Lonchura striata: one gene and its partners. The protein of the gene in region 2 binds, or shares a complex with, the protein of the main gene of each other region. Links are inferred from orthologs where the notes say so. Each region holds a gene or a part of one and is shown on either strand. Other genes may lie near its edges.

Region 1 (7,714 bases), on a different chromosome or scaffold from region 2:
GGCTGCAGACAATTTAGACTAACATTGAGATATCACTGTGATATCTCAGAGCAACCTCTAAACAAGAGTTCTGTTTTCTTCCAGCTTCTTGCATAATTCAAACACTATGAAGAGTGTAAGGATAAATAACAGTCCACTTGTAACAAAATGCAAAAAATCTGATTAAAAATAAACACCCTTTTAGTTAATGAAAGATGGATTCACATATAAATATATAACTAAAATTTCTAATTAGTCTTTGCATCTGAAATTTACATTTGAGGTTTTTCATTTTTTAAAAAAAAAAAAATTGTACTAAACACATGTCAAACTTTTTCCACTGCTTTCACAGACAAAGTAAGCCAAACTTTACGTATAGTTAAAGTACAGTGTGCATTGGTCAATTATTTTCTTCCAACTTTTTTTTTTTTAAATAAATTTTCTCTATTTTATCATGGCAAAAACAACAGCTAGACATTTTAATCATGAAGGCTCATTCCAAGCGTGTGTACTTGAACCATTACCCTTTTCCAGCTGCAGTGATGCTATGCAATTTGGGATTGTTTTATTTAACTAGTTTTGATTGTTCAACTCCTGCTGATTTGCTTCTTTTGGGTTTGCAGGATCAGCAGAAAATTCCTCAACATTCACTGTTACTGAAACGGTAGAATAACTTGTTTCTCTCACTCAAACCCCTAGAGGAGGTTAGTGGAATGAAGGCATAAACCTCTGAAGAATGGCAAGACCTGATCAGTAATTTATTCCAAGTATTAGATCTATTTCATTATTTTCTAGTATACTAACCAGTCAACAAAGAATTCCAGGTAACCTTCATCTGGTTTCTCCAGCTTCGGTGTCCCCATTTCAGCTTTTATGCCTACCAAGATATCAGTTTCTCCCTATTAAAACAAGAACACATCACTCAACAGAACTGTGTGTTTAATTTAAATGTCTACGGTAAACTGACATTTCTACCTTTCAGTTATCTGATCATTCTATCAGAATGAACTTAAAATTAACATTTTTTTTAAAAAACAAAAGGCTTTAGAAGGACAATATTAAGTGTAAGAAGATTCTTCAAACAATTACCATACATATTACCTGTCTTTAGGTTAAAAAGATTCTTAATATCCAAGACTACTTCTGTCATTTTGGTTCTGCAAACAGCTCTTTCTGCAGAACCTTCATAATGGTGCACAGTACATTTATCTTCTTCACAGTCAACATGTCAGAAGTAGTTTTGCATCGTTTTAAAGGAATAGAAATTTTTGCACCTCCCAGAAACTAGGCACAACAAGCAACTTCAGTTTTCAAGATTAAATGTTAAATTATTGCAGACTTAAGGCTGTTCAGGCACTTTACAGTAAATCCAGCTCGAGCCAGCCTGAAGTAATTATATATCCTACCATTATTTCCATATCCCATGGTTTCAGTTACTGCTATACACATACATGTTATACAGGTTATACACAAACCTATCTATAAATAGCATCAGATTAACTAGTCACATGAAGCAATTTCATTAGCAAGGTACCCAATCCCTAAGAAATTTACCTACCAGCTTTACTCTTGCAGATCCACTTGTGTTTGATACAACATCTGTTTCTACTTCTGCACATCTGTAGTCTTCACAGCCTCGACCATCTACACGAAGGTCTTCCTAAGTATGACAACCAATTTATTGTTGAGGGAATCAGTAGTGAAAAGTAAAAACAAAACAAAACAAACAAAAAACCCCCACCACAAACAAAAAACTCTGTGACTTTAAACTTTCCTTCTCCTATACCAAATGCAGCACTAAAAAGGATATAAAAGCAAAAACTTGTAGTTTCACCATGGAATACAAAAGAACAAACTATACTTTTTAATTTATATCTCATTTATGTAGAGCTTGTAACAAGCAATCTGCAGGCACCAATGAATTGCACCAAGTCCCTCTAATTCCCAAAAGAAAGCTTTGGATTTCAAAACTGTAAAGGTCTTGGCTTTAAATGGTACTTTACCTAACGCAACCCAGCTCTTTCCTTGGATAGGCAAGTTCTGTACTTTTACATCAGTAATTAGGACCCCAGCAGACAAAAGTAATACACCAGCCTCCCAAATGCTTTCCTCCATTTGTATTCCACAAATGAGTATTACACATCCTCTGATACTCTACAGCTCATTCCCATAAAAACAGGTTTTCAGTAAATTTCAGTAAGAATACAGTTCTTTTATCTTTGGGGCTTCTCCTTAAACACCCTTCACTCTTCCTCCATTGTCCACTCGTGTTCCTTCGCCAAGTTACAGGCTAAAACTCTATCCAATGGCAGTAACTTGAGGAAGAGCCAGGAAAGACCAAGGAAAGAGGAGCAGATGGGGGCAGAAGGATATTAAGCTCTTAGAAAGCATCCGAAGGAGGGCAATGAAGATGGTGAAGGGCCCTGCAGGGAAGTCGTTTGAAGGGATGCCGCGGTCACTTGGGCTGTTCAGCCTGGAAGAGACTGAGGGGAGACCTCACTGCACTCTACAACTTCCTCAGGAGAGGAGGGGCAGGCACTGATCTCTTCTCGGTGGTGACCAGTGACAGGACCTGAGGGAATGGCCTGAAGTTGTGTCAGGGGAGACTTAGGTTGGACATCGGGAAAAGGTTTTTGAACCAGATGGTGGCTGGACACTGGAAAAGGCTCCCATGGGAAGTGGTCACAACACCAAGCTTGACAGAGCTCAAGAAGCCTTTTGACAATGCCCTCAAGCACACGGTGTGACTCTTTGGGTGCTCTGTGCAGGGCCAGAAGTGGGTGATCCTCGTGGGTTCCTTCCGAGCCAGCATATTGTGTGATTCTGTGAAAACAAATCCACGTCCCGCTCTCAGCCTGCTTCCCGTTCTGATGCTCGGTGTGCTGAGTACTGCTCCAGAGGCTCGCCACCAGACAGAGCGGTGGAGGGCTCCTTCCCTCCCTCCCTCCTCCCCTGCCTCCCGCCCGCGGTACCTGCACGCCGTGCACGATGTACAGCTTCTCCGCCTCGCTCAGCACCACGGACGCCATGCCCGCCGCCTCCGCCGCACCTGCGCACTGCCGCGCTTCCTCCCCGCCTCCCGCCCGCCTTCCGTCCGTCCGTCCGTCCGTCTGCCGGCTAGCCAGGGCGGCTGTCCCGCCCGCCCAGCCGGCACCGGCACTCACAGCGGCGGCTCCCCTTGCCTGCTGGCAAAGCGGGGGTGCAGCCGGGAAGCCACAGAAGGCTTTCGCGCGGAGTTGGTGCAGCGCTCTGAGCGCGGTACCCCCCGGGCATCCCGGGAAACGTCCTCTCCGAGAAGCTGGCCCTCGCGGTAAAGCCACAGCTCCCGCTTTCTGCCAAAAGCTCCTCCAGGAGGCTGTGGAAATACCCTGGTGCGCAGAAATGGATCGCGTAGTCACAGTCTTCTGCGTTTCCTCCTTTTCCTTGCGGAGTTTTTAACTTCAGAAAGGTCCAAGCGAAGCGCGGTGCGCGGGGAAGGCTGGTGCGGGAGCAGGGAAGAAACCAAATGCTTAGGAGATTCTGTTGGTCCTGTGCCAGATATCACTGGGAAAGTGGGAAATGTGATTAAAAACTCGCGCTATATATTAAAACAATAATTAAGGGTTGGGTTTTTTTGACAGCTTTAATTGAAAGTTTCATAACAATCATTAGTGTAAGTTTGCATGCCTTTTTGCCTAGCTCCTGTGTAAAAATTTTCAGAGTATTTTAAAATATGCTATCTTGACTTCACGCTGATGCTTGCTTGGCTAAAAATGATCCATGGCTCCCAAGGATTACTCAGCACACTGCCAGAGTTTATCCAGCTTTCCACAACTCCTTGTTAAATCAAATGTGCAAAGCATTCCTGGCTGTACCTACTGGAGCAGGTGGCATGATGCAGTGGGAGCAAACTTCAGGAGGGATGGATGCTTTTGGAAGTTTTACCTAGGGTTGTATGGGGATTGTTTACTGTTTTTGGTGGGGAGAGCCAGCAGTGGAGCCTGGCAGAGCTGGGAGCTTGGGTAGCTTGTCTTCTCCACTCAGCCTGGGGAGGTGAGCAGGGTCAGGTCTCCTTGCTGGCCCACGGGAGTGCCATACATGAAAGGGCCCTGGTTTGTATGTTCTCTCTAAAATAGCATCTACCAGTGCTGCTGTCCAGCACAGACTGACCCTTCGTTTGACTTGTAGTATGATACCTGTGTCCTCACATTGCAGTCTGAACCAAACAAGAAGTAGGAATAAATCAAAAATTCCCTGAAAATGTGAGTGAATTATTGATCTGAAATAGTGTTAATGCAGATGCAGTCTGTGATTTCCACTGAGAGACCACAGGGAGATGACATTCTGGCTCTTATCTTAGTTCCTGACTCTCATGGCTTAGCCCACAGCAGCTAACAGTTAGAGTTGCCAGGCAGGAGTGATGTGTTAATTTTTTTCCCACTTCTGCCACCCCAGCTTGTAGTCTACGTAATGTTAGTCAAATTCTTGGATAGTCCAGAGGCTCAGCTAACAAATTTTGTTCACATGCAAAAAGCAGTTTTTTAAAGGTGGAAGGAGCACAGATTTGGCTCGTTTTTCCTCAAGGAGGGCAGAAGGCAACCTTTTGTCCTAAAGAGCACTTCTGAGGACATTAAAATTCCAGCACGAGGCAGTAATGAAACTTATCATACAAAAAAGGATGCCACTTGTTTCTTAGGTTTGTTGGGGTTTGTATGTTGGGATTTTTTTTAAAGGCAAAGCAGTATCTTTAATTTCATTGTAAATGAATTATGTGTGTTGGCCCATGTCATGGTTTGACACTGGCCATGGTTTGACCCACAAAAGCCTTTTGCTGATCTTCTCTTGCTCTCAACTGGGCAGAGGAGAGGAAAAAAAAAATTAATGAAGGGCTCAAGAGTTGAGATGAGGACTAAGAGCAAACAGGTTAAAATTTAAAGGTATAAAGCAAATTTATTATTAACAGAGTAGAGGAGGATAATGAGAAGTAAAATAAGCCTTTAAACCAACATTTTTTCTCTCCAGCCCCTCCCTCTTTCCCACCAACAATGCAGAGAGACAGGGTGTGGGGGTTTTGGTCAGATTGTCACTTGAGATTTTTTTTCTGTTTTTTCAGGGAAAGGAGTCTTTCATCTGCTATGCCCTGGGGTCCCTCCCATGGGCAAACAGTCTTTTTGAAACTGCTGTGGTGTGAGTCACTCGTCCACAGGGTGCAGTCCTCTGAGGATAGGCTGCTATAGTTTGGAAGCAGGGGCCCTCTCTCTCCATTTGGGTCTCCCACTGGATCAGAGTTTTCCCCAGCATCCACCCGCTCCAGTGTACTTCTCTCATGGTCTGTGAGTAGATCTCCGCATCCCCCATGGACCTCAATGGCTGCAGGGGGACAGCCTACTTTACCATAGGCCTCACCATGGCCTGCAGAGGAATCTCAGCTCTGGCTCTTGGAGCACCTCCTCCCCTTCTTTTTCCACTGACCGGGATGCTCACATGTCCTCACTTCCTCCTCTTCTCTGACCAGGAGAAAAACTGCTGCTTGTAGGTACCATTGCAAACAAGCTCCACCAATTCAAAAATCCTTGCAGGACCCTACAGCGCTCAGTGGTTGATCTTGTCTAGGTTCTGCACTGGGGAGTTGCTTGCCGTGTTTTCACCACCGGCCAGGTGGCCCCATAGCCACCAATGGGCAGTGGTGGCTGCCGCAGCACTGGTGTTATTGAGTGCCTCTCCTCATGCGGGGCACCAGGAAGGAGAAGGTGCCCCCACTGCCCTTCTGCTTGCAGCACAGTTGGCTTGGGGTGGCCAAGCAGACAAGGCTTGCTGTAGGCTGCATCCAGATGGCGATGGCCGCAGTGCCCAGATGGCAATGGCACTGTGCTGGGATGGCCCCAATGGCAGCACCTTGCCACCCCTGGAAAAAGCTGCCTGTGTGCTGTTTTGATTTTCTTCTTAAATAGAGGTATTACCAACCTGTCTAATTGGGCCTGCAGCATGTTCATCTTCAGAGCCACCAGAGAGATTGGCTTTGTCAGATGTGGTGGAAGCTTCAAGCAGCTTCTCATAGAAGCCACTTCTGGCTGTCTCCCACTACCAAAAAAACAGGCTATGCCAAATCAACACAGCCAGCCTGAGGCAACCCCCTGAATTGTGAAGATTTGCACTGCATGATTAATACCTGGGCAAGGCCACAAAGGCTGGAAGCGGTGGCTTGACATGGAGAGTGTCAAGCAAACTCAGCCCTTGCCCTGGCTCTGAACATGACAGCTGCAGTGGAGCGCTGTGTCACAGAATCACGGTCACAGAACAGGTACGGTTGGAATGGACCATGGTGGGTCATCGAGTCCAACCTCCCTGCTCAAGCAGGGCTGTCCTAGTGCACATGGCACAGGATTGTGTCCCGACAGTTCTTGAGTATCTCCAGTGAGGCATTCTCTACAACCTCTCTGGACAACTTCTTCAAGCATGTGGTCACCCACACAGCAAAGAAGTTCTTCCTCCTGTGAAGGTGGAACTTCCTGTGCATCAGTTTCTGCCCACTGCCCCGCATCCTACTGCTTGGCACTGCTGAGAGGAGCCCAGCTCCATCTCTTTGGCACACCCACACGCCCCTCCTTTTAGACATTTATACACAATAATGATGTCCCCTCTCAGTAGTCTCATCTCGAGACTGAACAGGCCCAACTCCCTCAGCCTTTCCTCCTAAGAATGATACTGCAGTTCCCCAGACGTCCTCACTGCTCTGCACTTCTCGAGTGCTAACAGATTTTGGATACCTGCAAACCAAAACTACCCTGAACCCGCCTGGGGCTCAGAGGTGCCCGCTGAGGCAGAACCCAAAACAAAAAAGTGTGGTGTTTTCCTCACAAAGCCCGCATTTCCCCCGGCACCCGCCCGCCTGGGCCGATAACGCGCAGCCGGCACAGGGTCCGCAGCCGCCGGTGCCCGTCCTGGCCGGGGCGCGCTCGGCGGGGCGGGGAGGGGCAGGGCCGGGGACGCGCTGCTCCCGCCGCCGCCGTTCACTTCCTGGTTCCTCCCGGCGGCCGCTCCACCTCCGCGCTAGGGGCGGGCGGGCGGCGGAAGGGGGGGTGCGGTGCCGTGCCGTGCCGTGCCGTGCCGCGCCGCTGCCGGCGCGGGGGCGGCGGGGCGCGCCGGACCCGCGGCGGCGGCGGCGGCCACTGGGGTAGGTGGGTGCGACTGACAGCGCGGGGCGGGGGGTGCTGGGGGGCGGGCAGGTGTGTACGCTGGCGGAGCGGGAACTGGGAGCAGAGAGCTGGAACCGGGAGCGGGCCGCCGGTGGATGCCATCCCGCCGCCGCCTGCGCCGCTCCGCCAGCCCCCCGGCCCCGCCGCTGTCCCCGCCGTCCCCGGCCCGCGCGGCCCCTCGGCGGTGCGGGAGCCCGGCGGTGGCGCGGCCGCCCGAGGGCGGCGCGGGGCTCCACATCCCTCGGCGGGGCCCCGGGCCGGGCCGGGCGGCGGGTCGTGTCCCGCAGCGGCATCCCCAGGACCTGTGGGCATCGGTCCGGAAACGGGAGGAGGGCTCCCGCTCTCACCTCGCCGCCTTCCAGCGCTGGGCTTTAAATACTGGGAAGCTGAACACGTTAAATGATTGCGTGCTAAATACGTGGTTTAGGTCTGCTCCGCGGCCTTTCGGAGCAGCGTCGAGTCCCCTCGGCAGGACATTTAAAGTCGGAGCCTCCAGCGATTTCGTCGTGGTCCTGTGATCTGTCAGTGGATTGCAGTGGTCCTGTAATTTGCTGATGCGT
Region 2 (7,040 bases):
GATAACCACAAAAGCGAGTCAAAACAAACTCCTTAAACAACACAGAATCAAGCTGAGTGGATAAAGAAGGGAAATGAAGACCAACCAAAATCGAGTACTTCATTTAAAAAAAGGCTTTTAATATATAAATCTGAATACAAAAATAACCAAAACACCCTACAGTCATCACAAACAATCCTCAAGGTTTTCTCTTATCAGTTCCCTGACAGTTTGGCAAGCGCTTGTTTTCTCTGTTGTGCAGTCATATACTCACAGGCTTCCAAAATATTTACTATAATTAAAGTCTGTTGCACTGTTTTAGCTTTTACCCATATTCTTCCATTCATTCCCAGCACCAGCTCAAATGGGTACAATTGTGACAACTCTTGAATTATTTCACATTTGGGAGCCAAGAGCCTGTGAACAAGACAAAAAAAAAGTCAGAGGAAGGAGTGATCATGCTTACAGAGACCACATTATTATTGACCAGTAGCTCCAGCAGTACTGCTATTATGGGAGCCATTTAAGAAACACTGAAAGATTATAAAGTTCTATATACATCCAACATAGCAATACAGTATCAGATTTTCAAGGCTCCTGGCATATAAAATGCATGCACCTAAAAAAATAAAGCCATTATAAATTTACTTTTGTCATTAGATTCAGAAGCAATCCCTGATAAGTTTAAAGTTAATTGATACTTTTACACACAATTCTATGAGCAAATAAATCTAAAAGTACACAATTTGACCAAATGACATTTTTGATGTGCTATTTATTTGACACCCCAGAGGTGTCTTTCAAAACAGGACTTCCCTTCTATTTCAGGAAACAGTATTAACAGCAATAAATAGCCTACTTCATTTTTATTAGATGACAACATACTAAATCCTGTAATGCGTCTAGAATTAAATCAAGATTAGACAAGTATTCACAAAAAATAAAAGCATACCAGTATTTAGCAGTTTACTTGTAATATGCTGTTATTTTTTTTACTTGTATACAGACAAAACTTGGAAAACAGAATGGCTGCAAGAAGCTTTTGTATCAGTTCATGCTGACTTCTAATAGGACATATAAATCAGACAATGCCAGGTATGAAAAAGCTGCTCTGCAGTGCCAGATTGCTTATCCAAAGAATGACAAAACAAACAAAAAACTCCACCCAAAAAGCAAAAACAAATTTTGACTATTGTTTATCCATGTAATCTGGTATACTTTAACAGTCACAAAAAAAAAAGTCATGTATTTACATCAGCATAAGCAACTCCAAAGTTCACAATACATTTAAAAGCTTATGAAACAGTTCCTGGATTTATGTGTCAGCCTTAAACTAAAATCCAACATTTTTAAAATCTGTATTTCAATGTTATTTATTTTTATTTGGAAGTCAGAAAATAATGTGTACTGATGTGCAAAGATCCCTTTAATCAGCTGTCAGCCAAACATACACCCTCTATTACCCCCACGAAACAGAACAAGGACAATAAGCATTGCCAAGTTTTAAACTCCAAGGTAATATGTACATAGCTGAAACACTATCCTGAATGTTTGACTACCCCAAGACACTACTTTTATTTTCCATACTGCCTTGGCATCCACATCACTATTTTTAAACAGGTGATGTAACACCATACAAAAGAGCTTCTAAGTCTCTTAAAAGAAAAAATAAACTTTTCTTCTAGATCAATCCATACTCTATTCAGTAAATCTGGTTTCAACGCACTACAAGAATCACACAGTCTGATTTACCAAACTGCCCACACTACTCAGAAGAAACAGCTGTGGTAATTTATACGTGAGAGTGACTAATTACATTTTTAGTACTTACTTTCTTATTAGACCTAAGGAAACTTTAAAGAGGAAGCCGTCTTGTCCAATTATTCCCATGCCACTTGATTTTCCACTGCTGTCTATACACACCATCTCTGGTTCCATGTCTTTATTTGCTACAACAAACTGACCATAAATAAGATCTCCCACCTAAACAAAACAGTGTCAAAGAACAAAAGTACAGGATTTTATCTCTTATAATCATTTAGCAGGACAACAATAAAAAATATCACACCGATTTTGTTTTTCTTTACAGTTTTACCTTTTACATTCTGGTAATGGCATTTCATGGGAGTGCAGAAACTATGGCATGCATGTGCAACACAACCATTCATAACAGCGCTGTTAAAAGAACCCACACAACTAATATTTTCTACCAGCATCACGTTTTAAAACCCTAACATCGGAGCGCCCTTTCGGAGGCACCTTATGAACTGCATCTGCTCCTGGCAAACCAACACATGAGAGTGAAGCACCCAGCCAGCTGAGAGAGAACAAACCACGCTAGTTACGGTCCTAAAAAACCCCAGAGAGGCCGCGGCCAGTGGTGCAAAACGCTCTGAGGAGGACCAAGGCGAAACCATTAGAACCAGACCTCCCCTAACTTCCCCTAAGAAAAGCCACTGGAACGCGACACGGGCGCCACCAAAGGACGCAGCTGAAGCGTCACCGGCAGCGAAGCAGGGCACCCACCTGCACGTTCGGCCTGTTCCTCTTCGTGGCACCTTCGAAGGCCAGGTAGGACAGGGACGCGGGCTCGCTGCCGCCCACGTCCAGCCGGAACACGTCCCCCGCTTTGGCCGTCACGATCCCGATGACGTGGTCGCCCTTCACCGGCACGTACTGCAGCGGGCGAGGGGGACAGAGGGTCAGGGGAGCGCGGGCTAACACACAGACACACAGACACACACACAGACACACGGACCCTACCCGCTTCTGCTGCGAGTCCACCCAGAAGGCGCCGCCGCCCGCGGGCCGGTGCCGCAGCAGCCCGCACTTGGTCACCAGCAGCCCGGCCCCGCTGCGCCGCAGCCCCGGCCCGCACAGCAGCCGCCCCTGCGGCGCCGTGCCCGCGCTCAGCCGCAGCCGCTCGCCCTCCGCGTCCTCGTCGTAGTGCGCGGGCAGCAGCAGCAGGTCCCCGGGCAGCACCACCTGCCCCACCAGCGCCTCGGCCGGCGCGCCGCGCTCCGCCGCCATGGCCGCGCCTCGGGCCGGGGCGGCGGCTGCGCCCTGCGCCCCGCGCCCTGCGCGGAGCGGCCGCGGCGCGCCAGCGACACCGCCCGGCCGGTCCCCGAGCTGCAGCCGGCCCCGCGCCGCTCACGGCGCCTCCGCCAGCCGCCTGCCTTTCCTGCGGGAAGCAGCCCGCCTTCCAGTTCTGCCGGGGGGCGGCCAAGGTGATGTTCATTTCGCACTTACGCGTCGGAATTAATAAACACACGGAGCTAATTCTTCCAGCTGCAGTTACAAGGGTTTTGAATACCCGATTAGAAGTTGACAGCAAAACAAACAGCTGGTAAATATGAGGTGACCGTCAGCCGATGAGTTTGGCAGGGAGCAAAAAAGATCACATCAGTTGTGAAGGGAAACTGCTCACAGACAGATGGTATTAAAACAGTTGGAAAGGATCACAATGGGTCATCTGGCCCATCCTCCCTGCTTTAAGCAGGGTCATCCTAGAGCACGTTGCACAGAACTGCATCTAGACAGTTTTCAGTATCTCTAGATAGAGTCCACAACCTCTCTGGGCAATCCGTTCCAGTGTGTGGTCACCTGCACAAAGTAAAGTTCTGCCTCCTGTTTAAATGGAGCTTCCTATGCATCAGTTTCTGCCCATTCCTTGGTGTCCTAGTGGTTGGCACCACGAAGCAGAGCTTGGCACCTCCCCTTTAGATATTTATACATATTAATAAGGTCCTCTATCAAGCATCTCTTCTCAAGGCTGAGCAGGCTCAGCTCTCTCTTTCCTTATAAGAGATGCCCAAGTCTCTTAATGATCTTCATAGCTCTCTGCTGGACCCACTCCAGATCTTCATGTCTCTCTGTCCCTGCGGAGCCCAGAACTGGACACAGCACTCCAGGCAGAACCTCAGCAGACGGGCAGATTCACTTCCCTTGACATGCTAGCAGTGCTTTTCCTAATGCACCCGGGGGTACCATTGGCCTTCTTGGCAACAAGGGCACTGCTGCAAGACCTTGTTGTCCATCAGATCCTCCTCCACAGAGCTGCTCCCCAGCAGATTACCCCCAGCACTTGGGATTATTCCTCCCCACGTGCAATACCCTGCATTTGCCATAGCTGAATTTCAGTTTCTTCTCTGCTCATTCAACTCCATTTTTTTCAAGTCTCTCTCAAGGGCCACAAAACCCTCTGAGGTCTCGGCCTCTCCTCCCGGTTTTGTGCCCTCGGGGACCTTTCCGGCCAGGCCCTTCACCCCTCCGTCCGCTCCTGCGGGCGGCGCTGGGGCCGCTGCGCTGCCGCCGCTGTTGCGGAGCAACCCCGCGCGCTGGTAGGAGCGGAGCGGGGCCGGGCCGGGCCGGGGGCTGCAGCCCCGGCGCTCCGGGAGCTGCTGTCCGAGGGAAGGCGGGCGGCTACAGCAGAGCGGAGCAGGCAGCACCGGCTGCCGGGGACTGGCGGAGTGTGAGGGAGGCGGGTAACGGGCTCCGCGCCCCGGGGCAGGGCTGAGGAGCCCGGGCAGGGGGGCGTGGGCGGCGGCTCCGGGTTACGAGGGTGGGCACACTAAGGCCACCTGGAGCCCCCGTGAACGCGGAGGATGGGCTGTAGTCACTGTGTCAATTCATTGCCTGGGCTCTCTGCCCTGGCACGTTTTCAGCCCCCTTGGCAGCAAAGGACGGCTCCTGTGTACTTAGACTGGGCTGGTGGAGTGTGTGCAGAGATCTGTGCCTTTCGTAACTGTAGAGCGTTCAGACCCTCGCCTTGCACACATCTCTTAAAGATAGCTTTGACAGTTCAAACTAAAATTACCCTTAATTGTCCTCAGAGTTAGTTGCCTGTTCTCTGCATAGAAGTTTTTAATGTCCTGTTGTGCTTTTCAATGTTGTTTTTTTTGTTTTGTTTTGGTTTGGTTTGGTTTTTTTGTTTTGTTTTGTTTTTTTTTGTTTTTTGTTATCATGCAGCCCTAGAATTAGCAGTGTGTTTCCAAGTACTTTATGAATTATACATGTCCAAACAATAAGGTGGGGTTTAAGCATTTTTTTTTTCTGCAGTGATTGTTATAACTGAGCTGTCACTGGCGCCTTTAAGAGCTAAATTACTGCTAAATAACTTTCTTGTATAAATTGAAGGCTTAGTAAAAAGTATTGTCATAATCAGTGTTTGGCACCTGAAGCAAGAGTTCTTAGAGCCCCTAACTTAATTCTAACATTGATGTCTAATGTCTGTCTGTTTATTGTCAGTAGATTTGGATGGAGTCTCAGTATCTGAAGCAATGCCTGGGAAATTGTTTGAAGAAGGGACTGGCAGAGGTTGTAGAGCATCGGCCAGCAGATCCAATAGAGTATCTTGCACACTGGATTTACAATTACAGAAGAAACTTAGATGAAGAAAAAAAGGTAGATCTAACTTAGGCAAAAAAAAAAAAAAAAAAAAAAAGAAAAAAAAAAAGATTGCTACAATATAGTTGATGCTATTTAATATATCTTTCATTTTTATGTTTAATTGATTCTGTGTTACATCTGAAATAGAGAATGCTGGAGAGAGCTGAGATAGAGCAAGAACGGGAGGCAGCCCTAGCAGAACTTGAAAGGTTAAAAATCCAGGAAGAAGAGCAGCGGAAACTTGAAGAACAACGTCAGGTTATTAATAATAGATAACTCCAAGCAGCATATGGTGCTGTGGCATCTTGGAGCTCTTTGTATACTTCTAATAGCTATATAATGATTTTGATAAAGGTGGCATAAAGCAAGTATTTCAATCTCACTTTTCTGAGTAACTAAAATTATTAGTCAGCACATGGGTAGGAAAAGTTACATACTATGGAGTAAAATGTTATTAAAAAATGATGGCTGTTAAGTTAAAAGGCAGCCAATTTAGGAGTTACGTGAGAAGTAACTGAAAATACTGTTTGGGCTTACAGTATCAGAAGTAAATACAATATCTGTGTTTTTAGCCATTCTTTGTAAAGGAATCATATGAACTCAGTGTTGACATAGTGATGTTGGTGTGACCTGACTGGTTTTCTTGTATGGATGACTTTCATAAAGTTAAAATCAAAAGCTTAATTTTAAATTTATGCTGATCACATTATGCCCAGCTCTAGTGTAAGATGCATTCATTTTATTTCGTTTGCAGTTTTAAAATTTGGCCTTTAGTAATTTACAAACTAAGAGTAATGTGCTTAAGGGTTTCATGAGTGATATAAAATAGTAAATGAAAATAAAGAGATTGTGTCCAGAGATAATTCACTGAGAATTATACTCACATTAGATACATTTTTTTTTTAACCTAACTCAGTTTTGGCTGTAGTCAAATATTGAGGTAAATTTTGCTTTTATGTACCATAAAGGAATAGAAAATTATGACCATAATTGTAACTACTCACAGAATGCAAGAGCAAATAGTATTTGCTAAGGTTGTTGAATGTAAATACTTAGATTATGCAGTTTCTGAAGTTTGGATGTGATAGGACTTATGTTCACAATTAATAAACACTTCCCGTTAGATATTTCCAGTTGTAAGTACTAAAGGTTGCTGATGGACATGATTAATGCTAATGACATTGCTTGCCAAATTTTTCTATAGATTTGATTCTATATTGATTCATCCATCTGTGCTAGGTGCTACACAAAGTATCAAAGAGCTTAATCCAAAGGATAGGAGATAACTAATACAGATTGATAAAGAGCTTGTGTAATGAGACAGGATCTGAAGTGTGTACACTAACTTCACTTAACTGCTTTATCTTCCTCTTGGTAGTAAAGCCTCTTTATCCATAAGAGTCTCAAACCTTTGAAAATGTCAAACCAGATGATACTGAAAGGACTTTATTATTTGCATAACATAGCAGTTATGTTTTATGTTTACTTTTTTATTTCAATATTAAATACTTTGTAAACAATGAGGTGAAAAAGATAAATGTGGGGCTTGTTTCCTTTATAATTTGTCCTTTCTTAAACTGATTGCAGGCTCAATTGGAGAAAGAACTTGCAGAGTTGGAAGCACAGAAAAAAGAAGCTGAAATGCAGTTGCAGCAGGAAGATCAAGAGGTTTG
Region 3 (7,234 bases), on a different chromosome or scaffold from region 2:
CACCCCAAACCCCACAGGGGCCCGAGTGCCCCAGCAGCGCCAGCCCGGCCGCGCTGACGCTGGCCCCCAGCTCGCCGCCGTCCGCCTGCAGCACCTGGGGGGAGAGCGGGGTCAGGGGCACCCCAAACTCCCAAAATCCACCCAAAATCCACCCAAAATTCACCCAAAAATCCCACAGAGCCCGAGTGCCCCAGCAGCGCCAGCCCGGCCGCGCTGACGCTGGCCCCCAGCTCACCGCCGTCCACCTGCAGCACCTGGGGGGAAGAGCACTCAGAGACACCCCAAAAACACCCAAAACACCCCAAAATCCACCCAAAACAGCCCAGAAACACCCAAAACACCCCACAGATCCTGTGTGCCCCAGCCTGGCCGCGCTGACGCTGGCCCCCAGCTCACCCCTGTCTGCCTGTAGCACCTTCGGGGACAAGGGGTGACTCAAAATCCCCCAAAACACCCAAAATAACCCCCAGGATCCCCCAAATCCCCCCAAACTCTCCCAAATCCCCCCCAAAGCCCTGACCTGGACATGCACGTCGATCTGCGAGCGCGGGTAGAGCTGTGCCAGCACGGCGCCCTCCAGCACGCCCCGCAGCAGCAGGGCACCCCCAAACACCCCCAGACCCTCCCAGGACACCCCCAAAACCCCCAGGACACCCCCAAACCCCCCCAGGACACCCCCAGGACACCCCCAAACCCCCCAGGACACCCCCAAACCCCCCCAGGACACCCCCAAACCGCTCACCTGGACGTGCACGTCGATCTGCGAGCGCGGGTAGAGCTGTGCCAGCACGGCGCCCTCCAGCACGCCCCGCAGCAGCAGGGCACCCCCAAACACCCCCAAAGCCCCCCAGGACACCCCCAAACCCCTCCAGGACACCCCCAAAACCCCCCCAGGACACCCCCAAACACCCCCAGGACACCCCCAAGCCCCCCCAGGGTCACCTGTACGTGCACGTCGATCTGCGAGCGCGGGTAGAGCTGTGCCAGCACGGCGCCCTCCAGCACGCCCCGCAGCAGCAGGGCACCCCCAAACCCCCCCAAAGCCCCCCAGGACACCCCCAAACCCCCCCAGGACACCCCCAAAACCCCCAGGACACCCCCAAACCCCCCCCAGGGTCACCTGTACGTGCACGTCGATCTGCGAGCGCGGGTAGAGCTGTGCCAGCACGGCGCCCTCCATCACGCCCCGCAGCAGCAGGGCACCCCCAAACACTCCCAAACCCCCCCAGGACACCCCCAAAACCCCCAGGACACCCCCAAACCCCCCCAGACCCCCCCAAACCCCCCCAGGACACCCCCAAACCCCCCCAGGACACCCCCAAACCGCTCACCTGTACGTGCACGTCGATCTGCGAGCGCGGGTAGAGCTGTGCCAGCACGGCGCCCTCCAGCACGCCCCGCAGCAGCAGGGCACCCCCAAACACCCCCAAAGCCCCCCAGGACACCCCCAAACCCCCCAGGACACCCCCAAACCCCCCAGGACACCCCCAAACCCCCCCAGGACACCCCCAAACCCCCCAGGACACCCCCAAACCCCCACAGGGTCACCTGTACGTGCACGTCGATCTGCGAGCGCGGGTAGAGCTGTGCCAGCACGGCGCCCTCCAGCACGCCCCGCAGCAGCAGCGCTCGCTCCGCCGCCCGCCGGTCGCTGCCGCCCTGCGCCGGGCGCCGCCGCCGCTCGCCGCCCCCCGCGAACGGCGCCGCGCTGCAGCGGCAGCTGAGCAGCGCCCGGTCCGGCGGGGCCTTGGCCCGGGACCCCCGGACCTGGGGGGAAAGGACATGGGGGGCTGTGGGACCCCCGGACCTGGGGGGAAAGGGGATGGGAGTGGGGGGCAAGGACATGGGGGGCCTTGGCCCGGGACCCCCAGAGCTGGGGGAAAGGGGATGGAGTGGGGGGCAAGGACATGGGGGGCTGTGGGACCCCCGAACCTGCGGGGGAAACGGGGATGGGAGTGGGGGGCACGGACATGGGGGGCTGTGGGACCCCCGGACCTGGGGGGAAAGGGGATGGGAGTGGGGGGAGCATGGACATGGGGGGCTGTGGGACCCCCGACCCTGCGGGGGAAAAGGGGATGGAGTGGGGGGAGCACGGGCAGGGGGGGCTGTGGGACCCCCGAACCTGTGAGAAAGGGGATGGGAGTGGGGAGAATAGACATGGGGGGGGGCTTGACCCGGGACCCCCGAACCTGCGGGGAGAAAGGGGATGGGAGTGGGGGGCACGGACATGGGGGAGCATGGACATGGGGGGCTGTGGGACCCCCAGAGCTGGGGGAAAAGGGGATGGGAGTGGGGGGAGCATGGACATGGGGGGCTGTGGGACCCCCAGAGCTGGGGGGGAAATTGGAGGGCTGGGAGTGGGGGGGCACACAAAGGGTGGGGCTGGGGGACCCCCAGAGCTGGGGGGGGGGGGGTAAACATCAGGGACTGGGGGGACCCGGAGATGGGGAGGCTGTGGGACCCCCAAAGCTGCAAGGAAAAAAGGGGGGCTGGGGGGGGGGGGGGGGCGTGGGACCCACACAAGTGGGGGGGGGGGAGAGAAATGGGGGGAGGGCACAAATTGGGGAGGGGGGCTCAGAATGGGGGACCCTGAAAGTCCCGGGAGGAGGGGGGAGACTGAGGGGGGGTCACAAGCCCCGAGGGGATTCACGAACCCAGGGGAAGTTCACAAGCCCCGGGAGAGGCTCACAAGCCCCAGGGGAGGTTCACAAACCCCGGGAGAGGCTCACAAGCCCCAGGGGAGGTTCACAAGCCCCGGGAGAGGCTCACAAGCCCCGGGAGAGGCTCACAAGCCCCGGGGAAGTTCACAAGCCCCGGGAGAGGCTCAGAAGCGCCGCGGCCCCGCTCACCTCGTGCGGGCCGTACACGGCCGCCAGCACTTTGGTGTTGCCCTGCTCCAGGTAGGCCGAGCCGTCCGCCCGGGCCAGCACCCCGAGCCGGGCCCGCACCTTGCGCAGCTCGTCCGGCCGGCGCCCGTCCGCCCGGAACCCCGCGTCGGACAGCAGCTCCAGCCCCGCCATGCCGGCACCGCGTGAGGGGCGGGACTACGGCTCCCGGCGTGCCCCGCGCCCGGCACCGCGTGAGGGGCGGGACTACGGCTCCCGGCGTGCCCCGCGCCCGGCACCGCGTGAGGGGCGGGACTACGGCTCCCGGCGTGCCCCGCGCCGGGACCGCGTGAGGGGCGGGACTACGGCTCCCGGCGTGCCCCGCGCCCGACGGAAGCTCCAGCCCCGCCATGCCGGCGCCGCGTGAGGGGCGGGACTACAACTCCCGGCGTGCCCCGCGCAAGCCGCCCGCCAACGGGAGGCACCGCCCCCGTGACGCTCCCGCGGCGGAAGCCACGCCCCTTGTGACGCAACCCCACACAGATCACGCCCCATTCGGGCCACGCCCCCGGACAGAGACCACGCCCCCCGCGGGGCGGTGCCCCGGTACCGCCCGAGGCCCCGCCCCTAAACCACGCCCTAAACCACGCCCCCCCGAGGCCCCGCCCCTCGGCCGGTTCGCGGCACCGGGCGGGACCCAACGGGACCCAACGGGACCCAACGGGACCCAACGGGACCCAACGGGACCGGGCGGGACCGGGGCGGCCGCAGCGCCCCCTGGCGGAGCGGCAGCACCGGGACCCCGCGGCACGGCCCGGCTCCGAGCCCGGCCCGTCCCGACCCGTGCGGCTCCGGCACCGAGCCTCGCACCGGGGCAGAACCGGCACCGGTCCTTCCCGGACAGCGCCGAGCCCTTGTCCCAGCGGCAGCGAGCGCTCACCGGGGGTAGCGGACCGGACCGGAGCGACCCTTCCCCGGCTGACCCCTGTCCGGCCGGCCCGACCTTGTCCAGGCCGGAGCGGAGCCCCGGGGCCGCCGCTCCCGGTGCCGGTGCCGGTGCCGGTGCCGGTCCCGCCATGGCGGCGCCGCTCGCCCCCGCCGGGTTCCAGTTCGCCATCGACCGCGGCGGGACCTTCACGGACGTGTTCGCCCGCTGCCCCGGCGGCCGCGTCCGCGTCCTCAAGCTGCTCTCCGAGGACCCGGCGTACCGGGACGCGCCCACCGAGGGCATCCGCCGCGTCCTGCAGGAGGTGCGAGCGACCCCCGGGCCCCGGGAGCGGCGGGGACGGCGGGGACAGCGAGGGGACACGGCGGGGGGACAGGGGGGACAGCGAGGGGACACGGCGGGGGGACAGGGGGGACAGCGAGGGGACACGGCGGGGGGACAGCGGGGACAGCGAGGGGACACGGCGGGGGGACAGCGGGAACACATCGGGACCCCCCGAGTGTCCTGCTGGGACCCCCGGGACACGGCGGGGACACGGCGGGACCCCCGGGACCCCCCGAGTGTCCTGCTGGGACCTCCGGTACCCCCGGGACACGGCGGGACCCCCGGGACACGGCGGGGACACAGCGGGACCCCCGGGACCCCCCGAGTGCCCTGCTGGGACCCCCGGGACACGGCGGGACCCCCGGGACACGGCGGGGACACAGCGGGACCCCCGGGACACGGCGGGGTACCACGGGACCCGCCCGAGGTCACCGGGACCCCCGGGACCCCCCGAGTGCCCTGCTGGGACCCCCGGTACCCCCGGGACCCCCGGGACACGGCGGGGACACGGCGGGATCTCCGGGACCCCCCGAGTGTCCTGCTGGGACCCCCGGGATCCCCGGGACCCCCGGGACACGGCGGGGTACCACGGGACCCGCCCGAGGTCACCGGGACCCCGGGACCCCCCGAGTGCCCTGCTGGGACCCCCGGGAGCACAGGGACCCCCCTGAGGAACTCCCCGGGACCACCGGGAACCCCCAAAGGACCCCACGGGGACCCCCCTCAAATGCCTCTCACAGGGACCCCCGTGGGGAATCCCGGGACCCCCGTGGGGAACCCCCAGACCCCTCCCGGCCCCCCTAAGCCCCCCAGCCCTGGGCCTGCCTGGACCCCCTGCCCCAGCCCGTGCGGGGGGTCCCCAAATGGGTCTGGGGGTCCCCAAGTGGGTCTGGGGACCCCAAAATGGGTCTGGGGACCCCAAATAAGTCTGGGGGTCCCCAAATGGGTCTGGAGGGCCCAAATAGGTCTGGGGTCCCCAAATGGGTCTGGGGTCCTGGGTCTCAGTTTTAGGGTCCTGCAGGAGCTGGGGGTCCCAGGTGAATTTGGGGTCCCGGGGCTCAGTTTTGGGGACCCCCCAGGAGCTGGGGGTGCCGCTGTGGCTCTGGGGTCCCGGGTGAATTTGGGGTCCCGGGGCTCAGTTTTGGGTCCCGGGGCTCAGTTTTGGGGTCCCGGGTGAATTTTGAGGTCCCGGGGCTCAGTTTTGGGTGCCGGGGCTCAGTTTTGGGGTGCCGCAGGAGCTGGGGGTGCCGCTGTGGGTCTGGGGTGCCGGGGCTCAGTTTTGGGGTGCCGCAGGAGCTGGGGGTGCCGCTGTGGGTCTGGGGTGCCGGGGCTCAGTTTGGGGTGCCGGGGCTCAGTTTTGGGGTCCCGGGTGAATTTGGGGTCCCGGGGCTCAGTTTTGGGTCCCGGGGCTCAGTTTTGGGGTCCCGGGGCTCAGTTTTGGGGCGCCGCAGGAGCTGGGGGTGCCGCTGTGGGTCTGGGGTGCCGGGGCTCAGTTTTGGGGTGCCGGGGCTCAGTTTGGGGTGCCGGGGCTCAGTTTTGGGGTCCCGGGGCTCAGTTTTGGGTCCCGGGGCTCAGTTTTGGGGCGCCGCAGGAGCTGGGGGTGCCGCTGTGGGTCTGGGGTGCCGGGGCTCAGTTTTGGGGTGCCGGGGCTCAGTTTGGGGTGCCGGGGCTCAGTTTTGGGGTCCCGGGGCTCAGTTTGGGGTGCCGGGGCTCAGTTTGGGGTGCCGGGGCTCAGTTTTGGGGTCCCGGGGCTCAGTTTGGGGTGCCGGGGCTCAGTTTTGGGGTGCCGGGGCTCAGTTTTGGGGTCCCGGGGCTCAGTTTTGGGTGCCGGGGCTCAGTTTTGGGGTGCCGCAGGAGCTGGGGGTGCCGCTGTGGGTCTGGGGTCCCGGGGCTCAGTTTTGGGGTCCCGGGGCTCAGTTTTGGGGTGCCGGGGCTCAGTTTTGGGGTCCCGGGGCTCAGTTTTGGGGTCCCCGGTGAATTTTGAGGTCCCGGGGCTCAGTTTTGGGGTGCCGGGGCTCAGTTTTGGGTGCCGGGGCTCAGTTTTGGGGTGCCGCAGGAGCTGGGGGTGCCGCTGTGGGTCTGGGGTCCCGGGGCTCAGTTTTGGGGTTCCGCAGGAGCTGGGGGTGCCGGGGCTCAGTTTGGGGTCCCCGGGCTCAGTTTGGGGTGCCGGGGCTCAGTTTGGGGTCCCCGGGCTCAGTTTGGGGTCCCGGGGCTCAGTTTGGGGTGCCGGGGCTCAGTTTTGGGGTGCCGCAGGAGCTGGGGGTGCCGCTGCCGCGGGAGCAGCCCCTGGACGCCGCCGGGATCCAGTGGATCCGCATGGGCACCACGGTGGCCACCAACGCGCTGCTGCAGCGGCGCGGGGAGCGCGCGGCGCTGGCCGTGACCCGCGGCTTCCGCCACCTGCTGCACATCGGCACGCAGGCACGCCCGCGCCTCTTCGACCTGGTGAGCACACCTGGGCACACCTGGGCACGGCTGGCACTCACCTGGGCACGGCTGGCACTCACCTGGGCACTCACCTGTACCCAAACCCACCCCAAACCCACCCCAAACCCAACAACCCAAACCCACCCCACACCGGCACCTGCTGCACATCGGCACGCAGGCGCGCCCGCGCCTCTTCGACCTGGTGAGCACCTGGGCACGGCTGGGGCACACCTGGGCACGGCTGGCACTCACCTGGGCACTCACCTGTACCCAAACCCACCCCAAACCCACCCCAAACCCAACAACCCAAACCCACCCCACACCGGCACCTGCTGCACATCGGCACGCAGGCGCGCCCGCGCCTCTTCGACCTGGTGAGCACCTGGGCACACCTGGGCACGGCTGGCACTCACCTGGGCACTCACCTGTACCCAAACCCACCCCAAACCCACCCCAAACCCACCCCACACCGGCACCTGCTGCACATCGGCACGCAGGCACGCCCGCGCCTCTTCGACCTGGTGAGCACCTGGCACACCTGGGCACACCTGGGCACGGCTGGCACTCACCTGGGCACGGCTGGCACTCACCTGGGCACTCACCTGTACCCAAATCCACCCCAAACCCAACAACCCAAACCCACCCCAAACCCACCCCACACCAGCACCTGCTGCACATCGGCACGCAGGCGCGCCCGCGCCTCTTCGACCTG
Region 4 (7,198 bases), about 11 Mb from region 2:
CAGAGCCCCAAGCAGGACCCAGCCTGCACGGCAGCTCTGCTCCACACTGCCTGGAGAAGCTGGGGGGCAGGGATGTCCCACCTGGTTGGCAGCCACCTGCAGTCTCTCCTTCTCAAGCAGTTTCATTCTCTAGGGGGATGGAAAACAGGGCACCAGTTATGTGTCTCAGAGGAGTGGGACAGGGGCCCTTCCCCTCGCACCCCCCTAGGACCATAGCAGCTGGGGGCCTTGCAGGAGGAGGAAGAGGGAAAGCAAAGTCACTATATGGCTGGGCCTGGCCCAGCCTTGCTCTGCAAGTTCAGCCTGGGGAAGCCAGGCAGTCTTGGCGCATGGCAGGAGAGGCTGCTCACCTCAATGGCTGCGTAGGCATCCCGGAACATCTCCCAGCCGCTGATGCTGCAGTAAATGCAGCCCATGGTCATGAAAAAGCAGAAGGAGAAGAAGTAGCGGTGGTTGTAGTGTCCCACACAGTTGTTTAGCCAGGCTGCCTCTGGGGTTAAAGGTACATAACTGTGACAGACCATGGGTCCAAACCCAACCCAGGGACCAGGGCAGTTCTTCTGCGCCCTGCTCCCAACACCCATTCCTATGCTGGCTGTCTCCTCAACAGAAGGGACTGGGAGAGAAGGGAGAAGCAATGCTGGCTCCCCCCAGGAGTGTGCCACTGGTTAGTACTGCAGAAGGATACGGCAGTGGTGGTCCATCTTCAGCACACACCTGGGAGAGAAGAGACCAGTGCCAGTGTCAGAGCCAGTGCAAGTGGTGTGTTTGGGAGGGGACAGGCACCCCCCAGCCCTGCAGGCTACAAGCGACAGGGCAAGGAGGTGGCAGCGCAGAGGAGAAGGGCCCCTGTCTCACACTGGGGCAGGGGGTGAGGAACAGGGTTCCAAAGGCTGCCCTGGGCAGAGGGAAGGTGCCCTACCTGTTGCAGATGCTGCAGTGATGGGTGCGAGCTGGCTTAGGGGCAATGCATTTTCTGCAGATGGACACGCCAGTGAGGTCGTTCTTGGCCTGTGCACAGGTCAGAAGAGATTTGCACATCTTAAACCCTGCATCTCAAACTCCTGCTCTCCTCTGTGCCACCCCGCTGCCTCCCCACTCTGCACTGCCCAGCCTAGCTTCCCAGATTAGAGGCATCCTGCAACAACATTATCAGGCTGTTCCCAGTGACCATCCATAGCTCACTTGGTGCCTCACCTGTGGTGGGTGCCCAGGTGAAGTGGTGATAGCCATGTAGTAGTGGAAGACAATCATGATGAGGTTCCAGTGTCCATAGGCGAGGTGCCAGCATATCCAGGCAGGTGTGTAGGTCTGCAGGATGAGGGGCAGCAGACAGATGTACACGATGGCCACAATAGAGCTCGTCAGCCCAATCACCAGTGCCACAAACACCTACAGAAAAGGGACCTGGGTCACTGTGTGGGTCTCAGATTCAGTCAAAGAAAGAAACTGAGAGTTTCTGGCCAGGCAAAAAGCCTGGGAAAGAATGTAAATAATCCTTTATCTCTCTTGTTTTTCACACTGTTTATAGTTCTATCACTGTGCATCAAGCACTTTGCACCAATGCTGTAGGTTGTTTTCACTTCAGAACCAATGGATTTGATCATTGCGAAGCTCTGTATAAAAGAGCAGCGTATTTTGAATAAATCGGAGTTTTACTCTCAGCAGCCTTCTGAGTCAAGTCTATTCATTCCCATCCTGCCTCGACAGAGATATCACTGGAGTGGGCAGAGCCTGCCCCTTGCTGCCTGGGAAGAGGCACGGGCAGGACAGAGCCAGAGGAAACCAATCTGAACCGCACACTAAGGCTGCAGCTCACTTCCTGCCCGAAGGACAGGCAGCCCTGAGCCCGCTGCCCCAGCACCACGTGTACCCTGCCCCATGAGGGGAACTCACCACACCAAACCATCGGGTGACGTGGTCCACCAGCCAGTAGACCGGCTCGAAGAGGGAGTCAAGCACCACGTCGCCATTGGTGAAGGAGTTGTAGAGCAGGGAGCGGAGGCAGAGGTGCCCGTAGTGCCACAGCTGCTCCACCTGCCGCACCAGCTTGAACCGCCGCCGCCGCCCCAGCCGCAGGCACTTGAGGAGCAGGCGCATCACCGCGGCGAACATCCGCTGCCGGCTCCTCATCCCCGCCACACCACGCCTGGGGGGACAGGAGCTCGGCGTGGGCAGGGCACCCTGCTGCCTGGCTGTGCCTCGGGAAGGGCTTCCCCTCCCGGCCGTGCTGATGCCGGTAGTGCAGCTCCCTGAACCGACAAGGATGCCGAGCTGGAGAAGCTGAGCCCAGGCTCCTGCAGGCTGCGGGGCCGCTGTCGCCGGGATGTCTCTTTGCACGGAGCAGGGGGCACAGGCCCCTCAGCATCTGGGCTCAGGTGCTCTCTGGTCCCATCTCGTCTTTCCCAGCGGGGAGGGGGCCGGGGGAGCGACACGGAGAGTCTGACTCAGAGGAAACCAGAGAAGGCATGAACATCCAGGATGCTGGGCCATTTCCAGAGATGATTTCAGCCCTTCCCAACATGTTCATGAACAGGGGAATCCACACAAGGAAAATGTGGAGGAGACAGTACAGGATTACCCCTCCTCCCCTAGCCCCTCCTTAAAGTGAAGGATGCTACTTCCCTTCACCTCAACTTCTGGACCAAGCTGGTAGAGGCCACCTTCCCAACCTCACAGCCTCACTCCAAGAGTCCCAACATTTCCTCTTTCTCCTTGCCTGAATCATTGAACAGTACCACACACTAGCAAATGAGAGGCCCAGGGACAGCCCCGGGCCAGTGCTCCCCTGCCCGCTGAGCCCCTTGTCCTGCCTGAGAGCTTTGCTGGGAGTGACGAGGAACCTGATCTGGCCCAGCACATGGGAAAACGATCTGCAGGGCTGGGGCCCCCAGGCCTCTGTGCAGGCAATACCCATCAATATTAAGCAGCGAGGCTGCCCCGGGGTCCTGCCAAGGCACGTTCTGAGCTTGGGCCAAGCACTTGCCTTGGTCTGGTGCCAGGCACCGGTGCCAGAGCTCAGGGTGCCTCCAGCAGGGATCGTCCCACTGCGCTGAGGTGCCCACCAACACAGCCCCTGGGGAGCAGCAGGGAGGGTGAGGGCAGAAACTGCACCATCCACATGGGCTGCCCAAAGAAGCCAGGGCTCTCCTCCACCCTGGGCCTGAGGAGTGTGGGGTTGACCCCAAAGTTGGGATCTACTGGACATGAGGACCCCACACCCAGCAGCCCATTCCAGGTCACAGACATGGCTCCTGCCCTGGTATGGCAGAGGTGGGATATGCAAACATCTGCATCACCCTCTTCTCCACATTTCCCCTTTTGTATGCCAAGAGCTTTTCCTTGAAGCTCAGCAGGTGCAAAATAGAGCAACAACTTCCTGCCGTTCAGCCTTTGGATGGCACACGTCCCCGTTTTGTCAGTGTGGTAAAAGACAAATCACAGCAGCCAGAAGCAGCTGTTGAGGTCAACCCTTTCCTCCAAAGACACAGCACTTTCCTGTCCCACAGAGAAACTTCCTCACCTACAGCAGCGGCAGCTGCTGGGCAGGGAACCCACAGGGGAGGCAGGAGCCCGCTCCAGAGCAAGACCCGCTGTCCCCAGGCACCTGCCTGAAGACAGCAGCGTAAGCACAGACACGAGGCTCCAGCAGAGCCACGCAACTTTCTCCTGCCCAGCCGGGCCCTGGGATCCACCCCTCGCCCTGCTCACGGCGCGGCACCGAGCCCATGGGAACGGGACAGCAACCAGCACAGACAGGAGCACTGGCAACATCACACCGAGGGGTGGGGATCCTCGGATTTGGCCCCACCCCGGGCAAAGGCGAGGCCTTCCCCCGCCAGGTCCAGGCCCCCCGGCGCAGCCCTGTGGCACCCTCCGGTGGCTGCACAGCGCCCGCTCCCCCGCTTCAGCAGCATCCAGCCCCACTTCTCTGTCCAGAGCCAGGACATCCCGGTGTTTAGCCCCATCCTCAAAGGCTGCCCACGCCGGCAGCCGCACCGCCTCCAGCCCCGTCACAGCCCGCAGCATCCCCCCGCTGCCCCCAGCCACAGACCGCACCGCTTCCCGGCTCCGGCCGCACAGCACACGCAGCATCCCCATCGCCTCCCGGCCCCCGCGCTCCTCGCCCCGCAGCCCCTCTGTATCGCCGCCCAGCCCCGCGGCAGCCGCAGCCCCGACAAGCCCGCAGCCCCTCGCAAGGCCCCGGCGCCGCCGACCTGGGCCCGCGCCCGCCGCCGCCATGCCCGGGCCCCGCCGGCCCACGGGCAGCGCCCGCGCGCGGCACGCCGGGAGCTCCGTCTGCCGCCGCCGGACTACAGCCCCCAGCATGCCTCAGGTCGGCTAGGCGAGAACCAATAGCCGCGACGCTTACAGCGCAGAATTGACGTCCAGAACCAATAGGATGAGGGCTTGCTGGTGAAGCGTTGTCGGCCGCGGGCATGGCGCCGCCCGCGCGGTACTGCGTCCCCGGTGAGTGCGGCCCGGCGCTGTCCGGGCTCCCGGGACTGGGGATGCTACCGCCCGGAAAGGGAGCGCAGTGGGCTAGGAGAGGAGTAGGGACGAGGCAGTGCGGAGGGGCTTGTCCCGGGGATGCGCCGCACTCGGCCGGCTGGGAGCGGGAGCTGTGCCGGAGCGGGCCGGTCCCCGGCAGCCCCTGAGCCGCTGTGTCGCAGGTGAGCGGCTGTGCAGCACGGAGGAGGCCACGGCTGGCAGCGGGACCTACACTCGCCATGGCTTCATCTTCTCTTCGCTGGCTGGCTGCCTGGAGAGGAAGAACGAGGACAACGAGGTGAGCGCGGCCGCGGCACGGCTGCTCCTCCCCGGGGCTGCGTGCTGTGCACCCAGGCTGCACGGCCTCTCTGGAGACTGGGCTGCGGCAGGGAGTTGGACTCCGATGGGGTTCGGCCGGTGGTTCTGTGCACAAGCTGTGCCCTGTGCTGACGCTCGTGTCTTGCCCTGCAGCTGCCCGTGGTGTCGGTGGTGAGAGACAGCAAGTCCCAGCTCCTGCCCAACGTGGGGGCTGTGGTGACATGCAAGGTGGGGCGCTGGAGCACTGCGTTGACAAACTGCATGGGCCTCGACTCTGTCTCATACTGAGCTTTGTTCCTGCACACGGATAGGGTGGAGTGAGGAGTCCCTGGGCTTCTTAGTGCCTTCTGTACAACTCCCACCAGGGCAGGGGCAGCCCAGGGGCTCCCTTGAGTTTCTCACTCACCAAGTGGGTATTGGCATGAGGGACACCTGCCCTGAGACTGAGGTGGGCTTGAGGGGAGGATTTTCTTTGCTCTCCTTCCATAACTCCTTCCTGGGACAGGGAGTATGCAGGTCAGTGCCTCAAGCAGCTTGTAGAAAGGATGACATGGACCAGGGATTAGTTTCCTTACATTCCTAGTGGAGGGAGAGGGACTGAGATCACTGCAGGTCTCAGCCTTATTCTGGTGCCTCGAATTGCACAAATATAATCATCCTCACCTGGCTTGCTGCCAGGTGTCCCACCGTTGCTTGGTCACAGCGGGGAGGAGGAGGCCAAGTGAGACCTGAGCTCCCCATGCAGCCCTGCCTGCTCCCTGCCCTTTCCCTGCCTGGACCACTGATTCCCCTTTTCCTACATGCAGGTCTGCAGTATTAACTCTCGCTTTGCCAAGGTCCACATCCTGTATGTTGGCTCCACGCCGCTGAAATCCACCTTCCGGGGCACCATACGGTAGGGAAAAGGTTAGGATTCCCCACCCTTCAGGGGGAGGAAGGCTGTTGTGGGCAGTGCAGCTGGCTGCCCTGAGCTGGAACTCTGCCCTGAGCACTGGGCTGGTGTCCAGCGCGTCCTGGTGAGCACCCAGGAAGGCTGAGGCAGCTTCTGCCACAGGCGGTTGAGTTGTCTTTGCTCATTGGCACTCAGATCCCTCCATCTCCTTTTTCAGGAGAGAAGATATCCGAGCCACAGAGAAGGATAAGGTCAGTGAGCCACTGCCAGTTGCTGTTGTACACCCATTGCCCTCCAGTTCCTGCTTGTGGGGGCCCTGTCCCCCCACTGACAGCACCCTGGCGCTGTGTGGCATTGCCTGCTCTCTCCTGTGCAGGTAGAAGTGTACAAGAGCTTCCGCCCCAGTGACATCGTCCTGGCCAAAGTTGTATCCTTCCTCCTCAGGGACACCGTGTTGGCTCAAGCTCCCTTGTGGAAGTGTGTCCCTTAACCCCTGTCCAACCAGATCTCCCTGGGGGATGCACAGTCCAACTACCTGCTGAGCACAGCAGAGAACGAGCTGGGTGTGGTGGTGGCACGCAGCGAGGCAGGTAAGGGCAGGACAGGGACAGAGACAGGGACTGGGCTGAAACAGTTCTGCCTCATTCCTGCCTTGGGGGCAGCTGATGCAGCTGCCTCCCTCTCCATATGGAGGAATGCAACTTTGGGAAAGAGCAAGTCTGACATTACGTGCCCAGGGGTGCAGATGGTGCCCATCAGCTGGTGTGAGATGCAGTGCCCACGGACACACACCAAGGAGTTCCGTAAGGTGGCCCGGGTGCAGCCCCAGTTCCTGCAGACGTAACAGCTGAGGGGGGCAGGGGGCTGCAGCACTGTGGCTGTGGAGCCAGAGCAGCCCCTGGGCTCCCACCTCCTTCACAGGTTCAGCCAGGCCTCCACTGGCAGGATGGGTTTGCTACTTGTGGATAATAAATTTTTTTTGAGAGCTTCCTGCTTCGTTCTTTACAGTAAGTGGGGGAGCCAGGGCTATCCATGCACTCTGGTCTGGCTCCCACAGCACAGCAGGTGAGGGAACAGCTTCCACAGCAGCAGGGGCAGAAGGAAGCACATTTTCACTGCTGGTGAAGGGGAGTGATGGAGTGACTTTGCTGCAGTGACGCCAACAGCACAGAGCCCCAGGCTGCAGCTGTGTTGGGCACTCCTCACCAGGTTGGTTTCCCCACACAGGAGTCAAGCCTGGTGCAGAGCCTGTCTCAGCTCACCACTAACCAGTGTGGGCCGTGGCTGAGAATAGCCTGGGGACGTATCTCATCTCCTCAGGCCACACATGCTTGCCCTGCCCTATGGAACAAGGGTGTGGTACACACAGACCAAAAACCAGAGCATGGCAGGGTGTCACCCTCTTGGGCAGAGATTGCAGAGCTGAGCTTTGCTCCTTGAGCCTGGCACAGCTTCTGCACCCTCCTGTCTGTGCCCAGCAGGGATTGCTGCCTTGTG

Evidence for each region.
Region 1: EXOSC3 (region 2) and EXOSC7 share a complex: the UniProt entries of both Homo sapiens proteins name them as parts of the RNA exosome core complex. The link is inferred for Lonchura striata from reciprocal best matches to the Homo sapiens genes EXOSC3 and EXOSC7.
Region 3: EXOSC3 (region 2) and EXOSC4 share a complex: the UniProt entries of both Homo sapiens proteins name them as parts of the RNA exosome core complex. The link is inferred for Lonchura striata from reciprocal best matches to the Homo sapiens genes EXOSC3 and EXOSC4.
Region 4: EXOSC3 (region 2) and EXOSC1 share a complex: the UniProt entries of both Homo sapiens proteins name them as parts of the RNA exosome core complex. The link is inferred for Lonchura striata from reciprocal best matches to the Homo sapiens genes EXOSC3 and EXOSC1.

Annotation. Positions count from the first base shown.
Region 1 is NC_134603.1:111,683,159-111,690,872, forward strand, and holds the start of EXOSC7 (exosome complex component RRP42), read right to left. Parts: upstream 3,029-7,714; 5' UTR 3,009-3,028; coding exon 2,952-3,008; intron 1,640-2,951; coding exon 1,538-1,639; intron 879-1,537; coding exon 784-878; intron 1-783. UniProt on the Homo sapiens protein: Non-catalytic component of the RNA exosome complex which has 3'->5' exoribonuclease activity and participates in a multitude of cellular RNA processing and degradation events.
Region 2 is NC_134609.1:7,919,367-7,926,406, forward strand, and holds EXOSC3 (exosome complex component RRP40), read right to left. Parts: upstream 3,024-7,040; 5' UTR 3,010-3,023; coding exon 2,743-3,009; intron 2,656-2,742; coding exon 2,506-2,655; exon of another isoform or gene 2,476-2,505; intron 1,963-2,475; coding exon 1,811-1,962; intron 397-1,810; coding exon 195-396; 3' UTR 99-194; downstream 1-98. Other genes in the region: DYDC1 (DPY30 domain-containing protein 1), read left to right, coding at 5,236-5,382, 5,515-5,625, 6,955-7,035. UniProt on the Homo sapiens protein: Non-catalytic component of the RNA exosome complex which has 3'->5' exoribonuclease activity and participates in a multitude of cellular RNA processing and degradation events.
Region 3 is NC_134603.1:819,375-826,608, reverse strand, and holds the start of EXOSC4 (exosome complex component RRP41), read right to left. Parts: upstream 3,021-7,234; coding exon 2,850-3,020; intron 1,768-2,849; coding exon 1,549-1,767; intron 1-1,548. UniProt on the Homo sapiens protein: Non-catalytic component of the RNA exosome complex which has 3'->5' exoribonuclease activity and participates in a multitude of cellular RNA processing and degradation events.
Region 4 is NC_134609.1:18,916,884-18,924,081, forward strand, and holds EXOSC1 (exosome complex component CSL4), read left to right. Parts: upstream 1-4,414; 5' UTR 4,415-4,439; coding exon 4,440-4,470; intron 4,471-4,673; coding exon 4,674-4,789; intron 4,790-4,962; coding exon 4,963-5,037; intron 5,038-5,615; coding exon 5,616-5,704; intron 5,705-5,918; coding exon 5,919-5,952; intron 5,953-6,077; coding exon 6,078-6,128; intron 6,129-6,206; coding exon 6,207-6,291; intron 6,292-6,394; coding exon 6,395-6,552; 3' UTR 6,553-6,686; downstream 6,687-7,198. Other genes in the region: palmitoyltransferase ZDHHC16, read right to left, coding at 82-129, 351-484, 689-717, 923-1,011, 1,198-1,392, 1,897-2,133. UniProt on the Homo sapiens protein: Non-catalytic component of the RNA exosome complex which has 3'->5' exoribonuclease activity and participates in a multitude of cellular RNA processing and degradation events.